5 linked regions of the Kluyveromyces lactis genome follow. The protein of the gene in region 1 purifies or fractionates together with the protein of each later gene. This does not show direct contact. Links are inferred from orthologs where the notes say so. Each region holds a gene or a part of one and is shown in the gene's direction. Other genes may lie near its edges. The genes, in order: PIL1, KLLA0_D16236g, KLLA0_F13618g, MSC3 and HSP104.

What was found.
Region 2: the proteins of PIL1 (region 1) and KLLA0_D16236g purify together in Saccharomyces cerevisiae (affinity purification with mass spectrometry; 4 studies listed by BioGRID). This does not show direct contact. The link is inferred for Kluyveromyces lactis from reciprocal best matches to the Saccharomyces cerevisiae genes PIL1 and YGR130C.
Region 3: the proteins of PIL1 (region 1) and KLLA0_F13618g purify together in Saccharomyces cerevisiae (affinity purification with mass spectrometry; 6 studies listed by BioGRID). This does not show direct contact. The link is inferred for Kluyveromyces lactis from reciprocal best matches to the Saccharomyces cerevisiae genes PIL1 and SEG1.
Region 4: the proteins of PIL1 (region 1) and MSC3 purify together in Saccharomyces cerevisiae (affinity purification with mass spectrometry, with the first as the bait; 3 studies listed by BioGRID). This does not show direct contact. The link is inferred for Kluyveromyces lactis from reciprocal best matches to the Saccharomyces cerevisiae genes PIL1 and MSC3.
Region 5: the proteins of PIL1 (region 1) and HSP104 purify together in Saccharomyces cerevisiae (affinity purification with mass spectrometry; 3 studies listed by BioGRID). This does not show direct contact. The link is inferred for Kluyveromyces lactis from reciprocal best matches to the Saccharomyces cerevisiae genes PIL1 and HSP104.

Annotation. Positions count from the first base shown.
Region 1 is NC_006042.1:761,171-765,979, forward strand, and holds PIL1 (lipid-binding protein PIL1), read left to right. Parts: upstream 1-2,283; coding exon 2,284-3,207; downstream 3,208-4,809. Other genes in the region: FUN14 (Fun14p), read left to right, coding at 72-578; cleavage polyadenylation factor RNA-binding subunit YTH1, read left to right, coding at 795-1,427; Golgi transport complex subunit COG4, read left to right, coding at 4,039-4,809. UniProt on the Saccharomyces cerevisiae protein: Negative regulator of cell wall integrity (CWI) in unstressed cells, probably by inhibiting protein kinase PKH1/PHK2 activity and regulating their downstream CWI pathways PKC1-MAP kinase pathway and protein kinase YPK1 pathway.
Region 2 is NC_006040.1:1,365,657-1,371,954, reverse strand, and holds KLLA0_D16236g (uncharacterized protein), read left to right. Parts: upstream 1-2,621; coding exon 2,622-5,237; downstream 5,238-6,298. Other genes in the region: KLLA0_D16280g (MARVEL domain-containing protein), read right to left, coding at 654-1,163; protein translocase subunit TIM44, read left to right, coding at 5,710-6,298.
Region 3 is NC_006042.1:1,259,612-1,265,860, forward strand, and holds KLLA0_F13618g (uncharacterized protein), read left to right. Parts: upstream 1-2,696; coding exon 2,697-4,964; downstream 4,965-6,249. Other genes in the region: glutamine--fructose-6-phosphate transaminase (isomerizing) GFA1, read left to right, coding at 133-2,247; aspartate transaminase AAT1, read right to left, coding at 5,170-6,249.
Region 4 is NC_006042.1:1,230,011-1,235,877, reverse strand, and holds MSC3 (Msc3p), read left to right. Parts: upstream 1-2,300; coding exon 2,301-4,259; downstream 4,260-5,867. Other genes in the region: adenylate kinase ADK1, read right to left, coding at 606-1,289; HTA1 (histone H2A), read right to left, coding at 4,742-5,134; HTB1 (histone H2B), read left to right, coding at 5,861-5,867. UniProt on the Saccharomyces cerevisiae protein: May be involved in the control of meiotic sister-chromatid recombination.
Region 5 is NC_006042.1:1,665,772-1,672,051, forward strand, and holds HSP104 (chaperone ATPase HSP104), read left to right. Parts: upstream 1-2,510; coding exon 2,511-5,210; downstream 5,211-6,280. UniProt on the Saccharomyces cerevisiae protein: Required, in concert with Hsp40 (YDJ1) and Hsp70 (SSA1) and small Hsps (HSP26), for the dissociation, resolubilization and refolding of aggregates of damaged proteins after heat or other environmental stresses.

The DNA of each region.
Region 1 (4,809 bases):
ACTCAGAATTGTGTTTTATATCCTCGAGTGAAGACAGACCAATCGACATAATAGGTAAAGAATTAGGAAAGATGTTCAGAACAGCAGCAAGAAACCTTGGCGTGCCATTAAGAAGAAGTGTTTATGTTGGATTCAGCGGTAGTTTATTAGTCGGTGGTGGATCGTTGTTGCACTCGATGCAACCAAGCTCATATATCATGAACGATTCAATTGTTGATGTTAAGCAAAGAACGAATCTACCACAAGAGCTTGGATTGCCAAGCCGTGTTGATATAAGTTCGAAGCAAAGAAGAGTCAACTACAGACAAATGTGCTACGGGTCAATTTTAGGTCTAGTGTTCGGTGTTATCTTTGGTAAGATATCAAGTCTTCTCGTGTTCATCACCGGGGTTGGATTCGTTGGGTTACAATTCTTGCAGAACAGGGGAGTTATCAGCAGTGACAGCACTCGTTCTCTTTCCAAATACGTTGTGACCATCGGCCGTGAGAGGATTGATTTGAACACATTGATCTGGGACAAACCCAGCTTCAAAGTCTCATTCATCTTGACATTTGTGCTAGCTGCACTTAACGTCTGATTGGTTCCGAGAACGCTACCTTATTCAGTTCACGTGACTTTTTCTCATGTGAAAACCCAGAATATCCTATAACGTTATATTTAAGAATTAGTAAAATAATTATTGTGTGTAACTCGCTTGTAACATGATTAATTACCAATCATCAAAGACATTTTCATAAACGACTGGTAGGCTACATTAGACTGGGTTGTCAAGGAGATAAGGGAGTTTAAACTAATGAGTATAGTTCATCCAGATACCTCGAAGTACGAGTTTAATTTCGAGCCATTTCTACGGAAAGAATATTCGTTCTCGTTAGATCCAGATAGACCGGTATGCCAATACTATAATTCAAGAGAGGGGATAAAATCCTGTCCCAACGGAGCACGCTGTCCAAACAAGCATGTGCTACCGATATTTCAGAACAAGATTGTTTGTAAGCACTGGCTCCGAGGTCTCTGCAAGAAGAACGATCAATGTGAATATTTACACGAGTATAACCTAAGAAAGATGCCCGAGTGTGTATTCTTCACCAAGAACGGGTACTGTACACAATCACCGGAGTGTCAATACTTGCACGTAGATCACAAGAGTCAGTTAGAAGAATGTGAGGATTATAATATGGGGTTCTGTCCATCGGGACCTGCATGCACGAAGAAACATGTCAAAAAGGTACTTTGCCCCAGATACTTGGTAGGGTTTTGTCCACTGGGTAAAGATTGCGACTGGTCGCATCCCAAATTCAAAGTACCTTCAGAACACAGCAAACTGCGCATCAAGAAAGACGAGCATATTAATACAAGAAAGATGGATGAGGAAAGGGAAAGACGCTTGAATGCCATTATCAACGGTGACATCCTAGTCACGTGACTGAATTTTTTCAGTTTTCATCAGTGCGTTCGTTCTCAGCCACTGCTGCTGTCACTATTCACTATTCAGCTCACCATACGTAATTCGATACAGATACAGATACTAAGTAACATAATACTACACAATGTTACAGCCGGATAATTCTATCAACCGACAGCAAAAGCAACACACCTGAAAAATTAAGGGAACCAAGGCTCACATACCTTAAATTGCTTATCCAATAGGTATCAGACCTCTCAGCCAAAATCATTCGCTGAGTTTCATTTATGGACACGCGGTCGACATATTCCCCAGTATAGAACACTCCATTCCACAGTTTCTTTCGGTTTCTTTTTTTTCTTGCAATACTGATAAGCATTAACCCTGAGAGCGGACGCATGAATGTACACCAGGCAACAGCGTGAGTTCTTGAAGTCAGTTTTCTAATACACCTATAACTGGCACTAGCCAGCTACTGGGATGGCAGTCTCGCATCACAGCAAGGCTGTCGACCGGTACCTCTTCGTCACTTCGTCTCTCCTCTGCTGCTGTCTATGAACCAGCGAGGTTTTGCTCAAAATGGAAAATGAAATTTTCGACGAAAACAAACAGAAATAAAAAAAAGGGAAAAGGGTAAAAAGGAAAATTAATGGAAGCAAGGTTTTTCCAAAGCAACTTCCGGCCACTTTTAGGAGAATTGCCATTGCATTTGGTAATTTATTTGTATATATATATAACACTTCTATATTTAAAAGTAAGGTTACTATTGTGATAATAACACGCAAGCTATTAATATTGAACATACGCTCAGTTATATAGAGTTCATTTGATCGAGTAATAGTTAAAAAAAAAGATAAAGACACCATATATTACAACCATGCACAGAACATATTCTTTGAGGACTACCAGGGCACCAACTGCCTCTGATTTACAGAATCCACCACCACCACCATCTTCTACCAAGAGCAGATTTTTCGGTAAGGGTGGTTTAGCTTACAGTTTCAGAAGAAACGCAGCTGGTGCGTTTGGTCCTGAACTTTCACGTAAGTTGTCTCAATTAGTGAAGATTGAGAAAAACGTGTTGCGTTCTATTGAATTGGCTGCTAACGAACGTAGAGATGCTGCTAAGCAATTGTCGTTGTGGGGTTTGGAAAATGACGATGACGTTTCTGATATCACCGATAAGTTGGGTGTTTTGATTTACGAAATGTCTGAATTGGATGACCAGTTCATCGATCGTTACGATCAATACAGATTGACTTTGAAGTCTGTTAGAGACATTGAAGGGTCTGTTCAACCATCTCGTGAAAGAAGAGCTAAGATCGCTGATAAGATTGCCTACTTGAAGTACAAGGACCCACAATCTCCAAAGATTGAAGTCTTGGAGCAAGAATTGGTCCGTGCTGAAGCTGAATCTCTTGTTGCTGAAGCTCAATTGTCTAACATCACGAGATCAAAATTAAGAGCTGCTTTCAACTACCAATTCGATTCCGTCATTGAACATTCTGAAAAATTGGCCTTGATCGCAGGTTACGGTAAGGCTCTTTTGGAATTGTTGGATGATGCTCCAGTTACTCCAGGTGAGACTAGACCAGCTTACGACGGTTACGAAGCGTCTAAACAAATCATTATCGATGCTGAGAGTGCCTTAAACCAATGGACTTTGGACTCTGCTGTTGTTAAGCCATCCTTGTCCATCAGAAACTTCGATGATGCTTACTTGGATGAAGAAGACCAAGAACAATGGAATGACGAAGAAGCTGAAGCCGAAGCTCAAGAAGAACACCCAGTTGCTGCTTAAACTTCTCACTCTTCTACTCCTTAGGTGCTTCTAAAAATCTCTTTTGTCACAAATTTATTATACTCTTATTCGCCCCTATTCGTTTTGTTTCGATTCTTTTCAATGAGTAGCCCACTGGCTGGCAAGCAATTTTTTTCTCTATTCGACTAACCTTACCTGCTTTAATATAAGTGCCAACTACTATCTCTTAATTGTCGTTTTAATAAAATACAAGTATTAACTCTTTAAAAAGAGAATTTTAGGGGAAGGGACTTTTCCCAAAAGGTTTTATGCCATGAGAATATAGGAAGACAGGTGGGAAATTCAATTTCCTATTCCTTTTGCATCTTTTTCTTTGTGAATGACTATGCCTTACACTACGAAATGGCTGTCTTCTGATCATGAATTACTTTGGTCTGTTCTTTGAATGTCTCCATCGCATAATCTTGAAATTATTGGACGGAAATACTGTTGAAAAGATTCAGAAACTGGAAACGAAAAGCAAAGCGAAAGACACTTACAAAGAAAAAATGTTTTTAATATATATATAATATTGATTTAAGGATTGACAATCCTCATTTACACTCATTGTTTCTCCCTATGTACTACTATGTATCAGCAATTCTAAAATAATCTGAAATTTCTATTAAGTCCCTTATACCTGTGCATTTTCTCACCACGTCAAACTTTAAATTTCCAACTGAAAATCTATCATTCAATGATTCCAAATATTTGGCAAGTCAAAGAATATAAATGAACACTTATAAATGCAAGAAGAATAGGGACCAAACACTGTGTGACTGATCAATTGCATCATTGCTTCTTTCTCAAGATAATATAACTCTCAATACTATGGAAATTGACGAGTTTCAACTCGATTCAAAACTATCGAAGTTCGAGAATCTATCGGGCAAATTATCGACCAAATCACAATTACCAAAGCTACTTCATTTGATAGAAGCTGATTATAGTCAGACTTCTAACGCTTTAAACAACTATATCAAAGGCTCAAATAATAAAATTAACAAATCGGTAAGGTCCTTGGAGTTAGGGAAGACCAATTTAACATCAACATTGTCTTTTTTCCATGAAGCCTTGGAATCTCTATCTAATTCTAACGTGCAATCGATATCAATTTCCAATAGGCTTAATTCCATCAAGGATGAAGCAGACCATATTAATCAATTGGCAGATTTTGTAGATTCTGTCAAACTTTTGAAGAATAACCTAAAAATAATAAATGATGCATTAGACACGAAGGAACCAAATTACCCAATGATAGCCCAATGTATCTATGAGATTGATCAGCTGCCAGACTCTATAATACACTCGCAGTTTGTTCAGCGGTGTGTACCCACTAGTGAACTTCCAGATCCACCGGTTCAGCTTATAGACAAGTGGAAAACTCATCTCTGCAAAGTATTTTCTGATAGGTTTACCAGAGCCACAAGAGACGTGGATGTTGGCACATTGACTGAATGCTTCAAACTATTTCCAAAAATTGGTGCTTCGGATCTTGGAATAGATCTTTACTCCAAATATATATGTGATAACATTGCACAACAATCCAGGACGTTAATGACACATACTTCCGGGGACCCATTATTTTATTCAAAATCCACA
Region 2 (6,298 bases), on another chromosome or scaffold:
CATTGAATACTCTCTTTCTCTCTCTCATTAATCATCGGATAACATGTCGTTTTTAGTACTTTTTTCATTTTTATTTCGACTTTTTCTTTGACAAAAGGTTTGTATCGAAGTCAGCATTGCTTAAAGTTCCAGTTTTTAAAGGCTTTTTTACGTTTAAAGTTCGATTAAAGGTAAGATTTAAATTTTAATTTTAAGAAACTGTCAACTAAATGAAGACACTCAACTCTTGGAAGAAAGGAAGGGAAACTGTACCAGTGAAGTAGAATAGAATATAGTTTGTGTTGTGGAATTTGAAAAAAAAAAAAGGAAGGGCGAGAGAAAGAGGGAGAGACAATGGCCAATTATAATTTAACGGCTTTGTTGTTGTAATAATAGTAAGTAGCAGCGGTAAAGTAGCAGCAGCAGTATTAGTAGAAAGAGGAAATAATAGATGAAGTAGCAGGGTATGGTATATGTATACAATAAAGGAAGAACGAAAAAAAAATAGGGGGGGGGTATAAGAAGTTTTTCTCTTTCTTTCAAAGTGTTGATCGTGTCCTCTCTCTCTGTCTCTCTCTATTGTTCAAAGAAGGAATAGTGGAAGCGGGAGCGAGAGCGGGAGCAGAAGATTACGCATCTCCCTCTCCCTCCCTCTCTTTTGTATCATAAACTCTTTAAACTTGGGAGATGGTTGGGACACCGACTTGAGTCTTTCTGTTGGAACTGGTCCCGAAAGCACCGGAAGTGATAGCATTAACAATGCTCAAGATGAACTTGACCAAGAAAATGGCAAAGGAGAAGTACAAGAACACAGTAGAAGCTTGTGCCTTACGACATCTGTCCTTAGAACCTTCAGCAATCTTGTTTCCGGAAGTGAAACTGTCGTTAGTACAAGAACCACCACGGATACCAACGGCCAAAGCAGTGGCTGCAGAGAAGGTGAAAACCCAGTTCAAGAAGTCCAAAGAGACTAATATGATAGGCCAAGCCAAAGCTGAGATGAAGTTAGCTATCAAAGCATACAACGAGTCGAAAACGATACCGAAAACAGCAGCAAAGATAGCAAAGTTAACTCTGGAACTAGAATGGTCCTGAGTAGCAATCAAATTACCGACTAGACCGAGAACAATGATTAAAAACACAAAGTTAACACCACGAAGCGAATTGTCTAAGATTGAAAGCATTTTCTATTTTTTTTTCTTATATTAGAGTTTTGGTTTAATTTCAGCTTGAGAGATTTCTTTTACCAACTTTTTATCAAGCAAGCAATCAAATTCGAACTTAATTTATCTTTTATTGATGTAAAGACTTAAACCTTAATTGATAACAGAAGTATTATTAATTAAACAATAATAGTATTATTTTATATATTAAGTAAAAGAGTGAAGGAAAGAAGTAAAGTAAGAACCAGAAAAAATTTATAATTTGTTTCCCTTATTTATTAAAGGATAGAACCATACAATATATGTAATCATTTCCGGATTGAAATATTTCTTCCTTAAACTTTTACCCTTTATATACCTGCACTCAAAAAACTCTGTATAACTAATACCATTTAACAGAAAGAGGCAAAAACAATAACAAATGCAAAAGACAACAGTTTCTTCTCTTCTCATTACCAAGAAATGGTTTTTTTTTTTGTTTTTTTTCCGTGCTTATACTTCTTCATTCAGTTCTTTCAGAATAAAACGTAATTGCATCTGTCTCTACTAGACCCAATTGTTCTGCCGAAAGCAACCAGAGAGACCTAGAATTGAAACTGGAACCTCTGGATATCTCTCTGGATATCCCTCTGTATCGAATAGAAATAAAGAAGTGCCTCATTCATAGCTTTTAGTTTCAGTCTCTGCTCTTCCGTAGTACCTGCAATTCTAGCGGTAAGGTTTTTGTTTGTTCCAGCGTTTTCCAGTTTCATAACAAACCAAAACAAACGAACAATTGACAGCAATCTCAGACCCGGGCGCAGTATCTCAATGTCTTCTCGGCTTGAAAACAGCAAAACAAATAAAAAAAAAAAAAACTTTCTGTGATGACATGGAAAAAAAAAAGAGGGAAAACCTTGAATTCGCTCAGATGCCGGTGCAGCGACGAGTAAGAAATAGGGGAACATGCATTACCCGGTATTAGACATCGCTACGGCAGAACCATTCAGGTTTCCTGCCGAAGATGAGAAAAGCATACGTCTTTTGTTTTAGGGGAGGCAGGGTAATGTAAACAAAACCGTCCCCTGGGTCCCTCTTTTTGTTTCTTTTTTTTTTGTTAGTTTGCTTATTTCCGTTGTCCAGTGTGGGGGGGCCGAGGCCATACAAAAAATGAGTGGTTCTCCGTGCGTTTTTTGCGCTTGCTATTGCTGTTTGCTCTAAGAGCAAAATGGGATGACCTTGGCGATTTACATGCGAGAATATGAGGTCCCTTCAAAATTTCCAATGTGATATCGGTGTTACCCGGCTTTCTTTAGTTAGCCGCGTGTTACCCTGTCGGATCTCCCTTTTTTTCCTCCCTTTTCATTTATTATACCTCCTTTATATAAATAAAGGAAGGAAGTTTCTTTGCATATAAACAACGACAGCGATTAGACGCTGATCCTGATTTAGTTTGGAACGCACACAGCAGCATCCTATCCCATAGAACTCCAGTTAATAATGGTCGGTTTGAACTTGTTTAGGAAACGGAACGAAATTGACCCCTTTGCAGGGTTGCTCGATGACGCGGACCATGCCGCCGAACAGCAACAACAGCATGATCTTACCAACAGTAACAGTATTTTGAAGCGAGTTACCACGAAACAACAGCAGCACCAGGAAGAACTAGATGATAATGAGTACCATTCTCCCTTCCGTACGGCGGAAGAAACTCAACGTGCGCGTCAAGTGAGACAGGAGAAGTTCCCTACTCTGAGCCAAGGTGCGGTACAACTTGACCCGGAACAGATGGGGTACAGCGTTGTTACCGACAAGTCAGTGAAGAAGGCCAAGGATATTATTATTCCTTCTGGGTTGAAGGATACCGAGGCTGAGCAGAAGGTTAGATTGACTGCGTTGGAAAAGAAGGAGAAACAGTTACGTTATTGGAGAAAGTCTCAAAAGATTGTGGATTTAACCAAGCCACAGGAAGCAATTGAAGCGTCGGATAACTTGGACGAACTGGATGAGGTGGACCCTAGTAAGGAACCTCCCATTGAAGATGTAGCTGAAGCTCTAGAAGAAGCCGAGGCTATGGCTGAAGACGATGAAGAGGAACCAGTTGATCCGAAACGCGAGCCAAAGCCTGAGGCCGCGCTGAGGGCTTTTGAAGAAGCTGAGGCAATTGTTCAGGACGACGAGGAGCCTCCAGTGGATCCTGAAGCCGAGCCATCAGCAGCAGTTGCTGTTGAAGCTCTTGAAGAAGCAGAAGCCATTGCGCAGGGCCAAGTTCCTCCAAGAGTCCCGTTGGCTGAAGAAGAAGAACAAGAAAATCCAACCGGTGTTTACAAGGCCCCGGAAGATGATGCTAATGAATACGTCGATCCATCTCGTGAGGCTAGACCAGAATCGGCTGTAAGAGCCTTCGAAGAAGCCGAGGCTATTGTCCAGGATGACGAGGAGGAACCGGTCGATCCTAAACGCGAACCAAAACCTGAGGCCGCTGTGAGAGCGTTCGAAGAAGCCGAGGCGATTGTCCAGGACAATGAGGAGCCTCCAGTGGATCCTGAAGCCGAACCTTCCCCGGAAGAAGCTGTTGAGGCATTCCAAGAGGCCGAAGCTATCGCAACTGAGAACCCAGAAGCTATTTCTCCTCCACCAGATATCAATTCTGCCCCTCGTGTTCCATTCACACCCAGTGGCGCCAATAAGGCCGGTACTGCTGCAGCTACTTCTGGAATTGCAGCTTCAGGCTTATTTGCCCTTTTCAAACGTTCGAAGAAACCAGAGTCCTCGACCAAAGTTGCTGCAAATGCCGCTGCTGGCACCGTTGTTCCAGGCGATGATGCGCCAGTGGCCACCCCTGAAGATCCAGAGTTAATTGTCAGAACACAAGAAGGCTACGTCTCGAAGTCTGTTTACGATAAGTTGCAATACGACGAGGACCAGCACCAAGCCAAGTTGGCCCTGTACTCCAAGGAACAAGATGAAAGGTATGAAACTAAAGCCCAAGAGTACGAGGAAAAGATCCAATCAATTCAAGCTGAAATTGCTGAATTGGACGCGCAAATGGAACAGGTTAGATTGGAACATGAGGAAAAGTTGAAGTTGAAGCAAGTTGAGAAATCTCAAGCATTACTAGAAACTAACGTCAAGCACATTAACGCCAAGGGTGATCTGTACAAGCAAACTGAAGAAATCAAGAACCAAACCATCTCAGATAAAGAGGACAAAGAAGTTGCTCACCAAACTGTCCAATCTGAAATTGATGAATTGTTGTTGTTGAAAGATGAAGTTGCCAAGGAAAACCAGGAACACGAATCGAAGGTCGAAGAGTTGACAGCAGAATTGGATAATAAGACATCTGCATTGAATGAATCCTTGGCTAAGAAGGATGAAACTAATGCTGAAATTCAAGCTTTGGAAGAAGAGAAGGCCAGATTGGAACAAGAAATTAAAGAAGCTCAAGAACTTCACCAACAAAACGTCTCCAAGATCGAAAGTATCGACAACAAGGAGTACTTACCTAAGGTCAATGAAATTAATACCGAAATTTCTTCACTACTTGCTTCGTTAGGTTTAATTCAACAAGAAATTGCCAACCAAAAGGTCGAGTTTTCTAGTGTTACTAGGAGATTGGAGGAAGAGCGTAAACAACATGAAGAACAATTGCTAAAAGAAAAAGAGGAACGTGAGCGTTTAGAAAAGGAGCGTTTAGAAAAGCAACGTACCGAGTACGAAAAGCAAGCTGAAGAAGCTCGTTTGAAGCACGAAGAAGAGCTGGCTAACCTGAAGCAAACTCACGACGAGGCGCTGAAGGAGGCACAGTTGCAACGTGAAGCTGCGGCCAAACAACTTGAAGAAGAACAACAGAGACGTGAACAAGTAGAACGTGAAAGAACTCGTCTACAAGGTGAAAAGGCTATTGAAGCACAACAACGAGGTAATCCCGAAGACAAGAGACTGGAAGCTGAACACGAAGAAAAGTTGAGAAGGCAAGCAGAAGCTGCCAGTGCAGTCGAAAATGCCCTGAAGAGTAGCAACAAAAAAACGAAAGCAGCTGTTCCACCTGCAAACACCACAAATTCTTCTCTATATGACTACGAAACCGTTGAAGAAGTCATAACTGTTGATTGAATAACAAAAGAGATCTTAAAACGAAATAACATTAAACATTGGACTTTGTAATTTCTAAAATATGTCGTTTCTAATTTATATTGATTTATCATTCTACTTCTTTATCCATTAGATAAAGTTGTGCACGAAGGGGATAGCCAATGTACTCCTTGTCTTGTCCCACTTCAGTCTTTCTTGTTTGATATAAATAAAGCGGACTTTTGAGAAGTTTTTTTTTTTTTTATTTTTTGGAATGAAATTTCATGAACAATCATCGATTTTATTCAAAGTTATTCATGAAAGTAATATCTTTCATTATAATCACAGAGCTCATATAGTTATCGGAGTTTAATTGGACTTACTATATCCAAATAAGTAGTTAGAAGTTAGGCTGTGAACAGTTACTACTTTTGACTGTCCTTGACCGTATCGTCACTTTTTTCCAGCCCTTTCTATCGGTATTAAATTTACCTCTTTACAAATCATAAGGCCAATGTTGAGAATTAACGGCCAGCAAGCAATGATGCACAAGGCAGTTGCCCGTGCTTCCACCGTGCGTACATTCACAGTCTCTGCTAAGGCTATGAGCAACCCTAGATCTCCGTTACAGATCTTCCGTGAAACTTTTAAGCAGGAATGGGAGAAGTCTAAAGAATTACAAGACAATATCAAAGCTTTACAGGATGCTTCTGGTAAGTTAGGTGAGTCCGAAGCTTACAAGAAAGCTCGCGAAGCGTATGTCAAGGCTCAGAAGGGTTCTACTATTGTGGGTAAAACTTTGAAAAAGACCGGTGAAACTGTGGAAACCATTGCCTCCAAGGCATGGGATTCTGAAATTGCCAAGTCCACCAGAAAAGTTGTGAACAAGACAGCTGATAAGTTGGATGAAAGCTTTGAACCAGTTAGAAAAACGAAAGTTTATAAAGATGTGAGTGAAGTTATTGACGATGGGGACTCTTCTCGTTATGGTGGTTTCATCACCAAGGAACAAAGAAGATTGATGAAGGAAGAAGCTATTGCCTCGGGTAAAAGATCCAGAGCTGTGAAATCGAACGATGCTGCTGGTACTGCGTTAGTAGCTA
Region 3 (6,249 bases), about 500 kb from region 1:
ACTTATTCACTCAGGGTTTTATGCCAAGCGTTCGAAAGGAAAGAAGCTAACAAAGGATCCAGTAACTCTAAAGTGTTCCAGCGGTAGCATTAGAAAAGACGCTGAGGCAAGATAGTTTAGGAACGCGATAGAATGTGTGGTATCTTTGGTTATTGTAATTTTTTAGTTGAGAAATCTCGTGGCGAGATCATCGATACTTTAGTGGAAGGTTTGCAGAGATTAGAGTACAGAGGGTATGACTCTACTGGTATTGCTATTGATGGTGACAGAGAAGACGAAACTGTTATTTACAAGCAAATCGGTAAAGTTTCTGCTTTGAAGAAAGAGATCGAAGCTCATAAGCCAAACAGGGACGCGCATTTTGTCACTCATTGTGGTATTGCTCATACCAGATGGGCTACACACGGTGAGCCAAAACAGGTGAATTGTCATCCTCACAGATCTGATCCAAGCGGTACTTTTGTTGTGGTTCACAACGGTATCATCACCAATTTTAGAGATTTGAGACAGCTTTTGACGAATAAAGGGTACAAGTTTGAATCCGATACCGATACTGAATGTATTGCCAAGTTATTCAAGCATATCTACGACACAAATTTGAAGAACGGTCATGATCCAGATTTCCATGAGTTAACGATGCAAGTTTTGCAAGAGTTGGAAGGTTCTTACGGTCTTTTGTGTAAGTCTACTCATTATCCAAATGAAATCATCGCCACAAGAAAGGGTTCCCCATTGTTGATCGGTGTTAAATCTGAAAAGAAATTGAAGGTTGATTTCGTCGACGTTGAATTCCCAGATTCTGAGCAGTTACCAGATTTGCCAGTTAACAACGAATGTAACTTGTTGAACGATGCTGATAGAAGTTTGCTTCCATTGGCCGGTGACGAAAGTACCTTGCGTAGATCTCAATCAAGAGCTTTCTTATCAGAAGACGGTTCTCCATCTCCAATCGAATTTTTCCTTTCCAGTGATGCTGCCTCCATTGTAAAACACACCAAGAAGGTCTTGTTCTTGGAAGACGATGATATTGCTCACATCTACGACGGTGAATTGCACATCCATAGAGCTAACAAAAAATTGACAGAATCTGCCACCAGATCCATTCAAACCCTTGAGATGGAATTGGCTCAAATTATGAAGGGTCCATACCAACATTTCATGCAAAAGGAAATTTATGAACAACCAGAATCTACTTTGAACACCATGAGAGGTAGAATAGATTTTGAACACAATCTGGTCAACTTGGGTGGTCTAAAGTCTAGATTGTCTGCCATCAGGAAAGCTCGTAGATTAATAATGATCGCCTGTGGTACTTCTTATCACTCTTGTTTAGCTACAAGAGCCATTTTCGAAGAGCTAACGGAGATTCCAGTATCAGTGGAATTAGCGTCAGATTTCTTGGATAGAAAATGCCCAATCTTTAGAGACGATGTTTGTATTTTTGTTTCCCAATCCGGTGAAACTGCTGACACCATGTTGTCCTTGAATTACTGTTTGGAAAGAGGTGCATTGACCTTGGGTATCGTGAACAGTGTTGGTTCTTCCATTTCTAGAAGTACTCACTGCGGTGTCCACATCAATGCTGGTCCAGAAATCGGTGTTGCATCAACAAAAGCTTATACATCACAATATATTGCATTAGTAATGGTGGCTCTTTCTCTATCAGACGATAGAGTCTCCAAGATCGAAAGAAGAAACGAGATCATCCAAGGTTTGAAATTGATTCCAGGTCAAATCAAAGAAGTCTTGAACGTGGAACCAAGGATCAAAGAACTTTGTGCTAAAGAATTGAAGGATCAGAAATCTTTACTTCTATTAGGTAGAGGTTACCAATTCGCAAGTGCCTTGGAAGGTGCATTGAAGATCAAAGAAATCTCTTACATGCATTCAGAAGGTGTGCTTGCTGGTGAATTGAAACACGGTGTTCTAGCATTAGTCGACGAAGATTTACCAATCATCGCTTTCGGTACCAGAGATTCCCTATTCCCAAAGGTCCTTTCCTCAATCGAACAAGTGATAGCCAGAAAGGGTCATCCAATCATTATCTGCAACGAAAACGATGAAGTTTGGCAAAACAAGGCCAAGGCCAACAATTTGATTACTTTGGAAGTTCCACAAACTGTCGACTGTCTACAAGGTCTATTGAACATTATCCCATTACAATTGACCTCATATTGGTTGGCAGTCAACAACGGTATCGACGTCGATTTCCCAAGAAACTTGGCTAAATCCGTGACTGTCGAGTAAGAAAGGCTCTATCTTTTTCTCATTTTGCGTACAGTTTATCTAATTTTTCTAGTTTGTCCGATACATTCTCCACATATATAATTAACAAACCCGTCAGATCAATTCCGTTCCCCTCCTACCTACTATTAACATTGTAACACCAATGGTAACCCTCTTGTCTCTTGTTTTCATACCTTTAGGTCCGATTTGGTCTTATTTCGGTTTCTTTTCGAATGATTGATACCTTGAGATAAAAACAGAAAAAAAAAAAGGGCAAAACATTCAAATCGAACTTTAAGTGCCGAACATCAACAGAAATAACGAAAGCAAAGGCACGTAAAATACCATTACTGTTTGTTAGAGGGCACTAGAACAGGTGTAATTCGTGTATCAGTCAGCTGAAAGTATATATTAAGTGGAATTGGTTCAAGAGAGGGATTAAAGAAGCTGCTGTTGCTTTTATAAAAAAAATGTTTCGTTCTAGAAAGTCAAGAGAATCGCGTTCTATTGATCCTGGTGCTTTGGTTGCTGCAAACACCATTGGGAAGGCACTGGTACCTTCTAAGGATTCGTTTGGGGGCCAGGTTGTAGATAAGAGTAAGATTCCCAGGTATAACAGTATAAGTGGCCGTTCCTACTCGATGGTAAACAGTCCCAAACCAAGTTCTCGTCGGAACTCTGTGAGACATGCTAGTGATACTGGAGATCGTTCTTCCAGGTATGGCTCGATGCGTTCCGTACAGAGTGGTAACAGGGTTGCTCAAAGCGATGCAGACAAGGTTTTCCATGAGTTTGGTGGTAATGAGGCCAAATATGTGCTAGGACCCAGTGGTCTGGTACGTGTTGATAATGACAATAATGAGCCTAAAATGGTATCTAGATACATTCCTAGCAGCCATGGGTTGGTCAAAGTCGAAGTTCCTTTGGAACAGTACGAGGCTGAGAGGAGAAACAGTCTTAGAAGGTCGACTTCTTTACGTGGTGGGATGACTGTAAGAAACTCACTTTCTAATAAAAGGAGTCATGCCTCTTTAAGAGCAAACTCAATTGGACATAGAACACCTTCTGGAACCCCATTGAAAAAACTTACAGAAGTTCCTACCGTTGAAGAAAAAAAAGCGGATATTACTCATTATAGGTCTTCGCCATCACCGGTGCCTAGAATCACAAAGACTGTCTATGCAACTACAGCCAAAGAAACATCAGCTCCAGTCGAAGAATTCAAACCCCCATCCTTCGGTAACGGTACTGCATTACCACAGACTCCTGAAAGAGCTATCACTAAAGATTTGATAGACTCAGCGACAGAAGAAGAACAGCCAAAAATTCATACTGATCTAAGCGTTACCAAAGAAGCTGTTGAACAAAAGATCGACCTTGATTCAAAGCAAGTGGTAGAAGAAGAACACGTTATTCTTACACATCAGAAGGAAGTTACTTCTTTGCCAGATGAAACGATTAATGCCGAGAAGGAAACTGACAAGGAATCTCTCAAAAAAGCAGAGCATAACACATCTAAAGTAGATATTCCGGATTCAAAAGAAAAGGCTCTTCCTGGCAACGATGGTGTCCAGGAAACTATAGTTGAAAAAGTGGTTGATGAAGAGGAACATCAAATTGAAGTTCAAGATCCTATCGTTGCTGAACGTCAATCAGAATCTCAACCGGAGTCCCAACCGGAGTCCCAACCGGAGACAGGCAAAAGCACCCTCGCTCAGTATATCAGGTCCGCTAATCCAGAACTCCAGAGAGTTAATGAGGAGGATGCTCTTGTTACCCCTAAGATTCCATTAGAAAAGACTCCTTCACCTATAAAATCCGCAATGAAGAAAACAAACCACAACAGCCAACAACTTCAACAACAATCTCAAGCTTCAAGCGCATATCTGTCTTTAACAACAAAGGAAAACACTAGGTTAAATGCGCAACTTTCTCACGAAAGTTTGAGAGAAACCGCCAGCAAACAACAAGCACAAAATCAATACCGAAGACAGCAACAGCAAAACCAGCAGCCTCTAGCTCCTAAGAGAAATTCTCAAAGACCGCAATCAATGATGGCTCAAAGAGTTAATGGTGATAGACGTTCTTTCATGCAGAATAATTCCGGTGTTGCTTCCCCTCGCGATGCTAGACCTAGAAGTGTCGTAGGGAAGCCGTCCAACAATGCCAAATCGCAACAAAATAGTGGACTTTACCCAAGGGAACCTCCTCAAAAGCGTTCAAGCTTCGAAAAGCAAAGACCGATGTCCACCAACCTTGGATTTAAAAACTTATCGTTGAGAGAGGATCCGCAACTCACTGACCAGTACGAGCAGCCTCAAGCCCCATTCCAACCACATCCACAACAAAGACAATCTAGAAACTCAACCCCTGTTAAAAGTGGAGTAACGTACAATGGTGTACAGTATGTCTCCGGATCAGTACCACTGCCTGCTTCCAATACCAACAATAACAAACCAAAAGCGTCGTCAATTGCTCATGGATTCAAATCAAGATTTGCCGACTCTGATTCGGACGAAGAATCCGCAAACCTACAGTTCAGCAACCAAGGGAGTCGATCTACTCAAGTTTCAAGCGAATATGAACCGGCACCTCCTCCACCCGCGCCATACAATCCTCATGCTACTTTGAGACCTCAGCCAGAGCCTCAAATAAACGCAACTCACACTACTGAGAAGAAAAAGAAGAACAACTTCAGCAGTAAACTAAAGAAGCTTTTCGGTAACAAGAAACACTGAAAAGTAGCGACTAATATAACACGAAACACATGTAATGGGCATTTATAATCCCTTTTGTATTCTAGTTACCCAAAAATTGTGATTAAGAACACTAAAAACTATCTAATGTACAATTCAAACCGAAGCTTTGTAGTAATAAATAAATAAATAAATAAAGTGAAATTAATTAAAGTCAATTTGATGATATTGAAACATCTTGATGTGATTATTGAACCACTTGGCGCAAAGAATCGCATAAATAATCAATATTACCGTCGTTAACTCCAGATAACGACATCCTGCCGTCTTCAGTTAAATAAATACCGTACCTCTCCTGCAGAATTTGAACCTGATATGGGTTTAACCCTGTGTAATAAAACATCCCATGTTGTGTTTTAAAATCAACAAGATTGGGCCAATTCAATCTCTCATGCATTTGAATTCTAACGTTCCATAGTCTATCAGACATATTCTTAACGTCTACGAACCATTGCTGCTTCAATTTTGGATTGCTTAGCACCAAGTTCGCTACACGAGACCCATATCCCGGTGGAGAAGAGTATATACCTCTTACAATCTTCTTTAGTTGAGAGTCGATGGTTGATTTGAGATCCAAGGGATTTGGTGGGACAACGACACTTAACGAACCTACACGTTCACCGTATAAGCCCATGTTCTTAGCAAACGATTGGCACACAAATAGACCGTTGGGCCATTCGTATTCTAGACACATTCTTAATAGATAAGCATCCTGTATAAGGTTCCCTGATTCCATTCCTTGGTACGCCATGTCTATTATGGGAGTTATTCCTAAATCATGGATCACTGGCAATATCTGTTGCCATTGTTCCAACGTAGGGTCCACTCCTGTTGGATTATGACAGCAAGCGTGTAACACTATAGAGGGGGGCCAGTCGGGGTCCCTAGAACTACAACTCTCCTTGAGTTCCTTGAGCCATTTATCGATACTCAATTTCCCATCCTCGTAGTACGTATAATATTTGATCTGATTGAATCCGTTCCATTGGAAAACGTTCGAATGATTAGCCCAAGATGGATTTGGTATCCATACGGTTTTCGACACAAACGTTGCCAAGAGTTTTGAAGCTACAGCTAATGCACCGGTACCACTCAAAGTTTGCACAAACGTGATTCTGTTGTTCTCCAATAATTCACTCCCGTCACTTGACTCTCGATACAAGAAATTTAACACATTGTTTTGGTAATCCTGCGACCCAGTGATAGGCAAATACGATAAATCATTATTCAGATCGAGACTCGTCTCAAGTAATGATTGGGCAGAAGC
Region 4 (5,867 bases), about 470 kb from region 1:
TTACAAAGTCCACAGAACAAGACGTAGTTGTATTTCTTCTAGAAGCAATTTTTTCCCAATGTTTCTTTACAGAACGACAACGACATTTCCCAGCCTGCCGCTGAACACTGTTATGCACATTTTGATCTGGAAAATGAAATAACATAAGACTGGAAGTAGAAGTGAGTATAAACCGCCTCAATTTAAGCATTAGTCCCGTGAGTGATGGCTGTCTGGCCTTTTAAAATCTTTTGCGAGGTAGGCGTATTAGTTGGATAGAGTAATGCATTGTCGATCTCGCTTCTGAGTATTCCGGTCGCTGGAGTTGTCTTATTCTCCCCCAAAAAAGTCAGTTCTTGCACGTAAGTGAAGCCTCTCTGACTACATTTACCTTGTTCCCTATTTTAAAAAACAGAACACTATTGGTATTATCGTTAAATGATTCTGTACTTTTGATGTTACATAAACTATACACCACCAAAAGAAGGTAAAAAAAAGCTAAGATACGATATCTTGGGTGAGGTGCTGATCATAATCTATGCTACTTTTTTGTTGTTTTTGATTCATATCCTGATTCGTTATAAAATGGGAAACACCATAAATAATAGTGAAATTTATATTCAAGTTTAGTTCTTACCCAAACACTTCAAGATATCAGACCAGACGGTCTTTGGAGGTTGGGAAGCGTCGACACCAGCCCAGATACCAGTTTTCTTGTAGAAATCGACAATTGGTTCGGTTTGCTTGTGGTAAGAAGTCAATCTCTTCTTCAATGCTTCGACGTTGTCATCAGATCTTTGGACCAAATCTTCACCGGTGATATCGTCCTTCATTTCAGTCTTTGGAGGGTTGAAGACCTTGTGGTAAGATCTACCAGAAGCTGGATGAACCAATCTACCAGTAATTCTGCTAACCAACAATTCATCATCGATCTTCAATTCAACGGCTTTTTCCAATGGTCTACCTTGTTGAGCCAACATTTCATCCAATTTCTCAGCTTGTGGGATGGTTCTTGGGAACCCGTCCAAGATGAAACCCTTCTTACAGTCTTGGTTGTTAGTCAACTCATCCTTAATCATGTTAATCATGATTTCGTCAGAGACCAACTTACCATCGTCCATAATCTTCTTGGCTTCAATACCCAATGGAGTTTGCTTGGCGACTTGAGATCTTAACATGTCACCGGTAGCCAAATGACAAGCACAGAATCTTTCGGTCAAGTTAGGAGCCTGGGTACCCTTACCAGCACCTGGTGGGCCAATCAAGACCATTCTGATGGATTCTGGAACATGGGACAAATCTTGGGACATCGCTGGTTACTTATATTTGTAGTTTTATGACTCTACTGATCGTTGAGGATATACCTGAAATTAAAGTACAAGAAAATAATTCATAAAAATTTAATCAAGATATATAATATACTAATATACTCTTGCATTGAAGCAATCACGCAAGAAAACAAAACGTGTCAGAAATTCTTATAACATTTCAAGTTCAGGTTAAACATGGAATATAGTTCTTCGTTCAAATTATCATCAACTTTTTTTTCATACTTATATAATTTTGATGTTGAAATTATCATGCTGGAATGAAAAAAGTGACTCCATTGATCCAAGAGAGAAGGGGGAAATGCGGTTACGAGTGGAATTCAGTTTTGGATAGTTATGTATGACGACCTCAGAGAGGTCGTCATTGATACAAGTACGAACATCACACGTTTCGAGGCCAGTGGCACGCGTAATTGAGCTGAGTGAGTTGGAGAGAGAATTCATCACTTTGTACGTCGTTGATGACAGCCCCAAATGTGATTTGGTCTGTGTCACGTGGTTTATAAATAATCACGTGACTGTATACATACATATATATCTTGTGTGCGTTCATATTCCGAACGGACCAAAACATCGTACCCTTACCTGGTAAACTTGTCCATCGTAAACCTGTCTGAATGTCCTTTGCAACAGACTGCTATTTTGAATCAGGTCCCATATTGCGTCTACTCCTTTCTGTCTCGAAGCAAACACCCTGGTTTCCTTGCTTTCTTGTACAGCCGTTTCTAACCGTTTCTCGATATAAATTCGCAGAGATAGCAAATTTCGATTGTTCCATAAGTGAAAAATGGAACATAAATCACAGAATAATAATAAAGGATGCATTGATATAAACAAAGAAGCATGTATATAAATACGGACATATATATAATATACCTTTAAATAGCGAAATTTGAGGAAGCTTAATTATACCCTTTTCGCTGCTCGGCTTATATCACTATTCTTCTCTGGTCAAAGTGCTATACTGAACAGTATACATCGAAATCCTCAACAATGGTATTTGGTATGAATTTAGGAAACAGGAGAAAAGCCACTAGGGTTCCAGACTTATCCAGGTATGACTATCATTACAATGGTAGCGGTGGTAATTCTGTAAATCAGGGTGATAATTACCTTAAGAGCCACGAGCTTTCTGCAGATGCGGCCTTTGCTGCTAGTGCAAGGGCTGGATCCCTGGTGAATTATCCAGAAAGAGGCTATACAAATATATCAAGAGCTAACAGTCTCCGGATGGGTCATCCTGGACAGCAGCAACAGCAATCGTCTTATATTCCTAGAAGTTACAGTTTTACTGCTCGTGGAGCATACGCTCCTCGAACCGGTAATGTCGGGAATAGAAGGTCTGTTTCTGCCATACCACGAACAGGTACAGCTTCCAGTCGTGGTGTTGGCAGTAGAACTGGTTCTATGACTGGTTCAGTAGCCAGGGTTGGTTCAAGGACCGGTTCATTTGCTGGAGGTGGTAACGGATCTATTATCATCAAGACACAAGAGGTTAAAGATATGATGGGCAGAACGCAATCGATCACGACGCAGACTATAAGAAGGATCAACGGGATGGAATACGTGGAAACTACCACGCAAACTGCTGGGCTGGTTGAAGACCCTCAGTTTCATTTCCAGCAGTTTGCTGAAAATGATGAGTTCCCAATCTCCGATGAGCTGTCCGCCACTCCTCCTGCTGCTCCGTTATCCGAATCGCAACCACGGACAAACCAGAGATTGGCCAATTTCAACTCGAATGCTATAAATAACTCAGCTGCGAATAACATCAGAAGTGATTCGGAAGAGGAAGGGGAAGAGCACTTCACTGACGCATCAGATGTCGTTGAAGAATCAGGTGCATTTGCGGAAGATGATCAGGACCATTTCCTGGCAAAAGTGAATAAAGTTGATGTTGATAACAATTCAAAATCATACACTTCAAGAAAACCCCTGGTCCAGAAACAGGGGGTGCAGCAGCAGCAAGAAGTTCAACATCAAGGTATATCGCAGGTTCAGAACACAGAAGCGAAATCAGTTGGAAGGAAAAGTACAATGTCCAAGAGGATGACTTTGAGAGATACTCCCAATGCACAACTTGAACCAGAAAAGGATACTACGGATCAAGCTACACCGGACAATAACGCCACGAAAAGAAAATCCATATTCAAAAGTAAGAAACGGAATGAAGCAGTTGCCGTCCCTACTGTTCCTACATCTGATCAGAAGACACTAAGCCAAGAGGAGATGTATGCTATAGCATTGGAGATTGCTCAACAGAAATATGGTCATCCTACAAAAACAGTTTCGCATAGTACAGACAATGGATCTAGAAACGAAATGACACCGATACTTGAAGATGCAGATGTCGAGCAACCACATGTGCTCCCGACCACACTGCACTTGCCCACGCGTGAGGAACAAATTCAACACGAACAATTGCAACAACCTACTGCGGCGATTCCAACAAATGAAAAGAGCCGACATCCAAAGAAAAAAGTCAAGAGTATACTCGATAGGGTTGTCCAGTTCAGCCAAGAGAACTCTGGTAATCAACCACCAAAACAACACCGTGGAAAACAATATTCTCAACAACCACCGGACGTCGCTCCGTCCAATGGAACAACTGACAATTTTGACACTAATGCCAGTGGTCATAATATTAATCACAATAACAATAATCACAATAACAATAATAACACAAGTTCTTCTTCTTCGCTTCGACACGAATCCGGGGCGAACCCCGTTGTCGTCACTGAGGATACCACGGTGCTAGCAGCTAGCACTGCTGCTACTCCTGTCGATGTAAACGAACCAGGCAATCCCGATCACGTGATCCCAGCCTCGTCCCCCTCCATCGATAACACCCCACGTATCAATGAGAAGACGAAAAGCAAGAAGAAGAACGAGAAAGGTTCGTTCTTCAAAAGGTTATTTAAATCTAATAAGACTCATATCAACACTAAATAGTTATACCGTTAATAGTAATTAATTTTTCTTTTCTACTCTCTTCTTGATCTAAAACAACTTTGTCCAAATTAATCTAAAATACATTCAAGGGAATATTCAATGTTAAAAGACAGGAAAAGGACAATAATGTGTCAAAATCAACAACACAGACAGAATTGAAAGTCATTGAAAGAAAGTAATCTAACCCGAAATTCATGACGATTAAAGATATACCTCATAACGTAGGATGAAGTAGTTTATATATATATTTAAAATATAGTACAAATAAAAAATAACTATCCCATACAAAGAGATGAAACAGAGAATCCCCCCATTTCTCCTTGTTTGATAAAGTAATTTGTGTGTTTAAAATGATGCCAATGCCAACTCAGAATAAACATAAGAAAGATATATTAGTGACAGACCCGATGAATTTTGTTTTCATATTAAAATAAAATTTGTATGCATTCCATTCTTTTTTTTCCCCCCTTTGCTCAGGCTTATTATAATTCTTGAGAAGCCTTAGCCTTGGAAGATTTCTTTGGCAACAAGTTTTGGTGAATGTTTGGCAAGACACCACCTTGAGCGATGGTCACGTTACCCAACAATTTGTTCAATTCGTCATCGTTTCTGATAGCCAATTGCAAATGTCTTGGGATGATTCTGGTCTTCTTGTTGTCTCTAGCAGCGTTACCGGCCAATTCCAAGATTTCAGCGGCCAAATATTCCAAAACGGCAGTCAAATAGACTGGAGCACCAGAACCGATTCTTTGAGCGTAGTTACCCTTTCTCAACAATCTGTGAACTCTACCGACTGGGAAAGTCAAACCTGCCTTAGCAGATCTAGATTGAGAAGCCTTAGCAGCAGAACCAGCTTTACCACCTTTACCTGACATTTTTTATATTGTATTATAGTGTTTGATTTGTGTGTTGTTTTTGATTTAGTAGTATCTGTGATGATGAACAACAAACAATACGAAGAGCTAAACTAGGAACAGAAGAGGAACTGAAAGTGCAAGAAGTGACCTCTTTATATAAGAAACGGTGGCACGGTAGTGCCACTGTGTCACTGAGCAAAGCACACGCTCACACAACAAAAGTAAAAAAAGAAAAAGCGGCAGCGAAAACAAACCCCCTGTTCTCACAGCTTCACCTGTGCCGTGAAACTCCTGGAATGTTAATATATTGTCTCTTGAGATGTCGAGGAACCATTTTTTCAAACAATCAACGGATTCCCTTTTACTATGGACTCCCGTGGTTGTTTCCGAAAAAGGAAACTTTTTCGTAGACCGTGCTACCGGTTACGCGCGGAGAATATCTCCATCCGCCATAGTAAACCGGTTTACCACAGCGAAGCTGTGGTCATGACATGCCTTTTTAGCGTGAAAAACAAAAAAAACAAGTACCAAAGACACAATTTAAGGAAGGCAAATCGCTTTTACTATGGCGAAGAACCAAATTGTATATAAAGAGACTGACTAAATGGATACTTTTACCCTTTCTCCTTATAGATTATCCGTTTCTATTAGAAATATATATGGTTCTGTAATTCACCCTCGACAAGCACTAGTTATTTGAAAACCAGTACTATCACATTACTAAAAACAAATATTACAACTATAATGTCTG
Region 5 (6,280 bases), about 900 kb from region 1:
TATTAATTTCGCTGTCCAAGGATATATTTGCTGTCCCAATATTAAAAAAAATACTCGAAGGTACTTTAACAAAATTAATGGACGTGCACGTCCCGCGACAGAATAAAATTCAAAATAAAAATATATACACTGAGCACAGAAACCAAGATGTGCAGTGACACAAAGGTTTCTCTTACCTATTTTCTGACATGGCTCTCTGATTCTGTATTTGTACCCCATTCCTTGTCACGCTGAAATATTTTAAATATATAAACCTCTTTGTATAGGATAAAATTACTTCTCTTTTTACCGTCACAAAAGGCACTTCTCTTATTCTACTTTACAGTATTATTACCACCTAGAAACTCTCTAAGGAACTTTTTAAATAAGCACTCGTATTCCAACCGGTTTTTTAAACAAGTCCAGGAAAACAAACTTACCAAAGTCTTTATTCAATTACACTTAAAAGAATATATCTGTCATGCAACAAAAAAAGCTAATTCCAATTTTAGTCGCTCTTCCAATAGCACTAGCAGGTGCTGATAGAGAGTCTGCGCCAGTTGTTTATGAAAATCCAGAGAAAGCCTGCTACCTTGCAGAATTTCCTCAGGTTGGCTCCGATAAGGTTGGTGGATACATCACACTTTCACTAGTCTTGATGGAATTGCCAAGGTAAACGTCAGAATATCGACTTTGGAGCCAAAGCTTCAATATCACATCCACGAAAAACCAGTTGATCCATCCGATCCAACTTGTGAGTCTACAAAAGAACACTTGAACCCTTACAATGGGCAGGTGCCATGCGGTAATGATATCTCCAAATGTGAAGTTGGTGACTTAAGTGGTAAGTACGGTAACATCGACTACAGTTATTACGAGACGGAATATTTGGATCCATACTTATCATTGATCGAGGGTGATCCCGCTTTTGTTGGAGGTAGATCAATTACCTTACATTATTCTAATGGTACAAGATATGCATGCGCTGACATTGTTCCATGTGAGAAATTGAAGCCATCTCCAAAACCACCAAAGGAAGACAAACTAAAGGAGGACGAACCAAAGGAAGACGAACCAAAGGAAGACAAACCAAAGGAAGACGAACCAAAGGAAGACGAACCAAAGGAAGACGAACCAAAGGAAGACAAACCAAAGGAAAAAGATCCAAAGGACGACACATCAAAGGACGAAAAGTCTGAGGAAGAGAAGCCAAAAGAAGATAAAAAAACCAAGAAAGAGAAGAAAAAGGCTAAGAAGGAAGAAGAGAAAAAGCAAAAGGAAGATAAGAAGAACAAAAAACATAGTGACAAGAAGAACAAAAAACATGATGATGATGATGAATACTCCGAAGCTGAACCTTCAGTGACTGAAGAAAAACGTGTTGAGACGAGTTTCACCAAGAAACCACATCACACTACCTCTGCTGCATTGAAGGAAGGTTACAAAGAGGTAAAGAACGAAACGGACACTGAATGGAAAACAGATGACGGTCACTACAATGGCACTGAGACTGATCATTCTACTGCCCTAAATGATGCTTATAATTGGAAGAGAACTTCGTCCATAGGCTCCATTATTGCTTTCATGATGTCCTTGTTAATTTGATTCAAAAACGAAAGATCATCACGCACATGAGCTGGAATATCTAGTTATACATATGTAGATCTTACAAGGAAAATAATAATATGTTGCTATCCAAAACTTGACACAATGCCAATGATATTGTCTTAATTAACGTGAATTACAAAACTGACGCCTGACATCGAAACAGAAGTGCGTTCCAAAAACCTAGCGTTAAATTTCAAAATCTATCACGTGATGGTGATCCACTTGTTCCAGTTTTTTTCTTCGGTTTTCTTTGTGGACATGCACTTTCGAGAGTCTTCCAGAAAAATCCGGTAATGTTCTAGCTATCACGGTTCCGGACTCTAGCTTAGAGCAGAGTGAATTTTAAGTAGCTTTACAATCCCCACACAGCTTCTACATTGCCGTAAGCAACATGCTGGGATAGCTGGTTGTTTGATCTAGTATTCAACTAACAATAAGGACGTACTTACAATTTTCTATTTTACGTAGCCATGAACGTCAGTCCCAACGGTAATTTAAAAGCTTAACCTTGAGTGAGTGAATTATTCGAGAATGTACTGGTTTATACTGGAAAAGTAATGTAGTTGTTAGAGCTTTGTTTGTCTGTGAATTGGGCAATACTAAAGCTGGGACTGGTACCGGGAGATAGGGGTTGAGGTATATTTTGCTTTGCTATTAGTTTTCTTAATAAGGTGATTTTAGGGTATCTTTTGATAGATGCTTATAGAAAGAATAGGTGAAAAAAAAAGTTTATAGAATATAAGCGTAGTGAAGAGGTATATAAAGGGAGACCATCCGAAGAATCATTTGTTGAGTGCTTCCTGCTTTGGAATTCAATTACATCAATTGTATCAATAGTGGTCTATCTGATAGAAATAAACAACAATTGTCAGGATCATCAAACGCATCAACAGTTTATTGTCTAGAAAGAAGATATTACTACAATGAACGACGAAACACAATTTACAAATAAGGCCAACGAAATTATCCGTTTGGCCCAGAAATTGGCTCAGGATCACAGACATGCTCAGTTACAACCAATTCACTTACTTGCTGCATTTGTTGAGCCAAACGAGGATGGTTCTGTTGGATTCTTACAAAACTTGGTGGAATTAGCGAAATATGATTATGAACCTTTGAAAAGGGCCATCAACAGAAACCTAGTCAGGACTCCATCTCAGACGCCCGCACCATTAGAAATTCAGCCAAGTTATGCTTTCGGGCAGGTCTTGAAAGATACTTCAGAAATTAGGAAACAGCAAAAAGATTCATTCGTCGGTCAAGATCATATATTGACTGCTTTGTTCAAAGATGCAACAACTCAAAGCATTTTTAAGGAGTGTTCCATTGACATAGAATCTGTGAAGCAGCAGATGCTCGAATTGAGAGGCAATCAACGAATTGATTCAAGAGACGCTGATACAAATGAAAAATGGGAATATTTGAAGAAGTATGCGATCGATATGACTGAACAGGCTAGAGCAGGTAAGTTGGATCCTGTTATCGGTAGAGAAGAAGAAATTAGAACTGCCATCACTGTTCTTGCTAGAAGAATCAAGTCAAATCCATGTTTGATCGGTGAGCCAGGTATTGGTAAGACTGCCATTGTAGAAGGTGTTGCTCAAAGAATTATCGACGATGATGTTCCACAAATTCTACAGGGTTGCAAATTATTTTCTTTGGATCTTGCTGCATTGACGGCTGGTGCCAAATATAAAGGTGATTTCGAGGAAAGATTAAAAGGTGTCTTGAAAGAAATCGAGGAATCAAAGACTTTAATTATATTATTCATCGATGAGATTCATATGTTGATGGGCCAAGGTGTAGATGATTCTGCCAATGCTGCTAATATTTTGAAACCAGCCTTATCTCGTGGTGGCTTGAAGGTAATTGGTGCCACTACCACTAACGAATATAGATCTTTGGTCGAGAAGGATGGTGCTTTCGAAAGAAGATTCCAGAAGATTGATGTCCCTGAACCAACGACAAGGCAAACGGTAGCTATTTTGAGAGGTTTACAGCCAAAGTATGAAATACATCATGGTGTTAGAATTCTAGATAGTGCCCTAGTGTCTGCAGCTCAACTAGCTAAGAGGTACTTGCCATACAGAAGATTACCTGATTCTGCTATTGACTTGGTTGATATTTCATGTGCCGGTGTCGCTGTTGCTCGTGATTCTAAGCCCGAAGAATTAGACAATAAAGAGCGCGAATTGCATTTACTACAGGTTGAAATCAAGGCATTAGAAAGAGATGAAGAAACGGATCCAACGACAAAAGAAAGGCTACAACAAGCCAGACAAAAGGAAGCTTCATTAATTGAGGAATTGGAACCAATGAGACAGCGTTACCAACAGGAAGTGGATTCTCATGAACAACTAAGACAAGCCAAAAAGAAGCTCGATGAATTGGAAAACAAATGCATGGATGCCGAACGTCGTTACGATAATGCTACCGCAGCTGATTTGAAATACTTTGCTATTCCGGATATCAAGAAACGTATTGAGGAATTGGAACAAAAAGTTGCTGAAGAAGAATCCAGGGAAGGTTCTGAAACAATGGTGAAGAACGTGGTTAACAGCGAGGTTATTGCCGAGACTGCCGCTAGAATGACCGGTATTCCAGTGAATAAACTAACTGAATCTGAAAACACAAAGTTGATCCATATGGAACGTGAGTTATCGCAACAAGTTGTGGGTCAAATGGAGGCTGTGAAAGCCGTTTCTAACGCTGTCAGACTTTCTAGATCTGGTTTGTCTAACCCTAATCAACCGGCATCTTTCTTATTCCTAGGTTTATCTGGTTCCGGTAAGACTGAATTAGCTAAGAAAGTCGCATCCTTCTTGTTTAATGATGAAAAAGCTATGGTCAGAATCGATTGTTCAGAATTGATGGAGAAACATTCAGTTTCGAAATTATTAGGTACTACTGCCGGTTACATTGGTTACCAAGAAGGTGGTTTCTTAACTAATCAATTACAGAGAAGACCATACAGTGTGTTGTTATTTGATGAAGTCGAAAAGGCCCACCCTGATGTCTTGACCGTTCTTTTGCAAATGTTAGATGACGGCAGAATCACTAGTGGTCAAGGTAAGACAATTGACTGTTCGAACTGTATTGTAATTATGACTTCTAATTTGGGTGCCCAATTTATCAATGCTCAGACTGGATCAAAGGTTACTGAGGGTTCCAAAGAGTTGGTGATGAGTGCCGTTAAAGCACATTTCAGACCAGAATTCTTGAATAGAATCTCAAGTATCGTGGTATTCAACAAGCTTTCTCACAAGGCCATTCACAAAATTGTTGATATCAGAATCAAAGACTTGGAGAAGCAATTTGCGGATAATGATAAGAATTACAAGATCAACGTTTCACCACCAGCTCGGGATTTCTTGACCAAGAATGGTTACTCGGAGGATATGGGTGCTAGGCCATTGAACAGATTAATTCAAACCGAGATTTTGAACCCAATGGCAATCCATATCTTGAAGGGTGAGATCAAAGACAAAGAAATTGTCAATGTAGAAGTGGGTGCCGATGGATCTCATTTAGAAGTTTTACCAAATCACCCAGCTTCATCAGAAATTGGTGATGAAGACATGGATTTGGACTTGGACGACGATGACGACTTAGACCTAGACTGATCTAAAATGAATTACAAAAAGAAAACATACAAACAAACTCACTCAGTAATAAAATTTCAGTTCAACAGTACCATCATATATAGTGTAAAGTACATATTTTTTTCACTTTCTTTAGTATAATATTTTGACTTTTACATGTTTTCATGTTCATAAGAGGTGCAAACCAATGGTGCTGCTGTTATTCATACAAGCGTACTAACTAAGCATTCTGGCTGAGTTTGTATTACATGTTACTTAGATGGGCAGGGTTCTTTCAGCCTTTTTCACTGATTTCCCAAGTCAGTAAGTCCAATTTTGCACATGATTCAAAAGAATTTGATTGGTCTTTCTTCAAATCATGCTTCTTTCCTCACGAATGTTAATCTTCGGCTTTTTTCCTCTTCTTCCCTCGTTCCGTGGAGTTATTGGCTGAGTAACATCCCATATACCTTTCGTTCTGGGCATCGCTAAACATGCTTGGTAAAGAGATAGACGTAGATCATTTTCCCTGAAAGGCTTCCATTATTACATGTCAAAAATTAGCAGGCAATCAGATGGACTAAAGCGTACGCTCGCATTTGGATACGAGCCTCTCTATAATTCGAAGACACACGTACCAATGTGTGGGATAAGACGCAAACGCGTCGGAAGGGAAGGAACGGAAAAACGCTTATCGGCCTCTAAGAAAGAATGCAGAAGCGAAGAAAATCCAGCACTGTAAATTCGTTTCATTTCGTAGATTCATCTCAGGTGCCTATTTTTTAGTTTGTATGCAAAAGGACATGTGTTCTCCTTGGTTTTTTTTATCTACAGAATGAAGGAGGCCGGATCTTGGCAGTAACTGTTGTTCGGATTACAAGATTGAAATGTTTCTGGCTTATTAAGAGTACAGGAACTTGAGGGTGATTTACCGGTACTTTGTTTGGTTCGATTTACTATTTTATTGATTGATTGAATTATGTCTTACAATTGCCATGGTTACCACAATTCCTATTGTGCTAACAGATACTATAATTATTATTTATTTACCTGTGCCACGCTAACTAGTTCAAGTGCGGATTTGTTTTGCATATAAGGAGAGCAACCCGTTT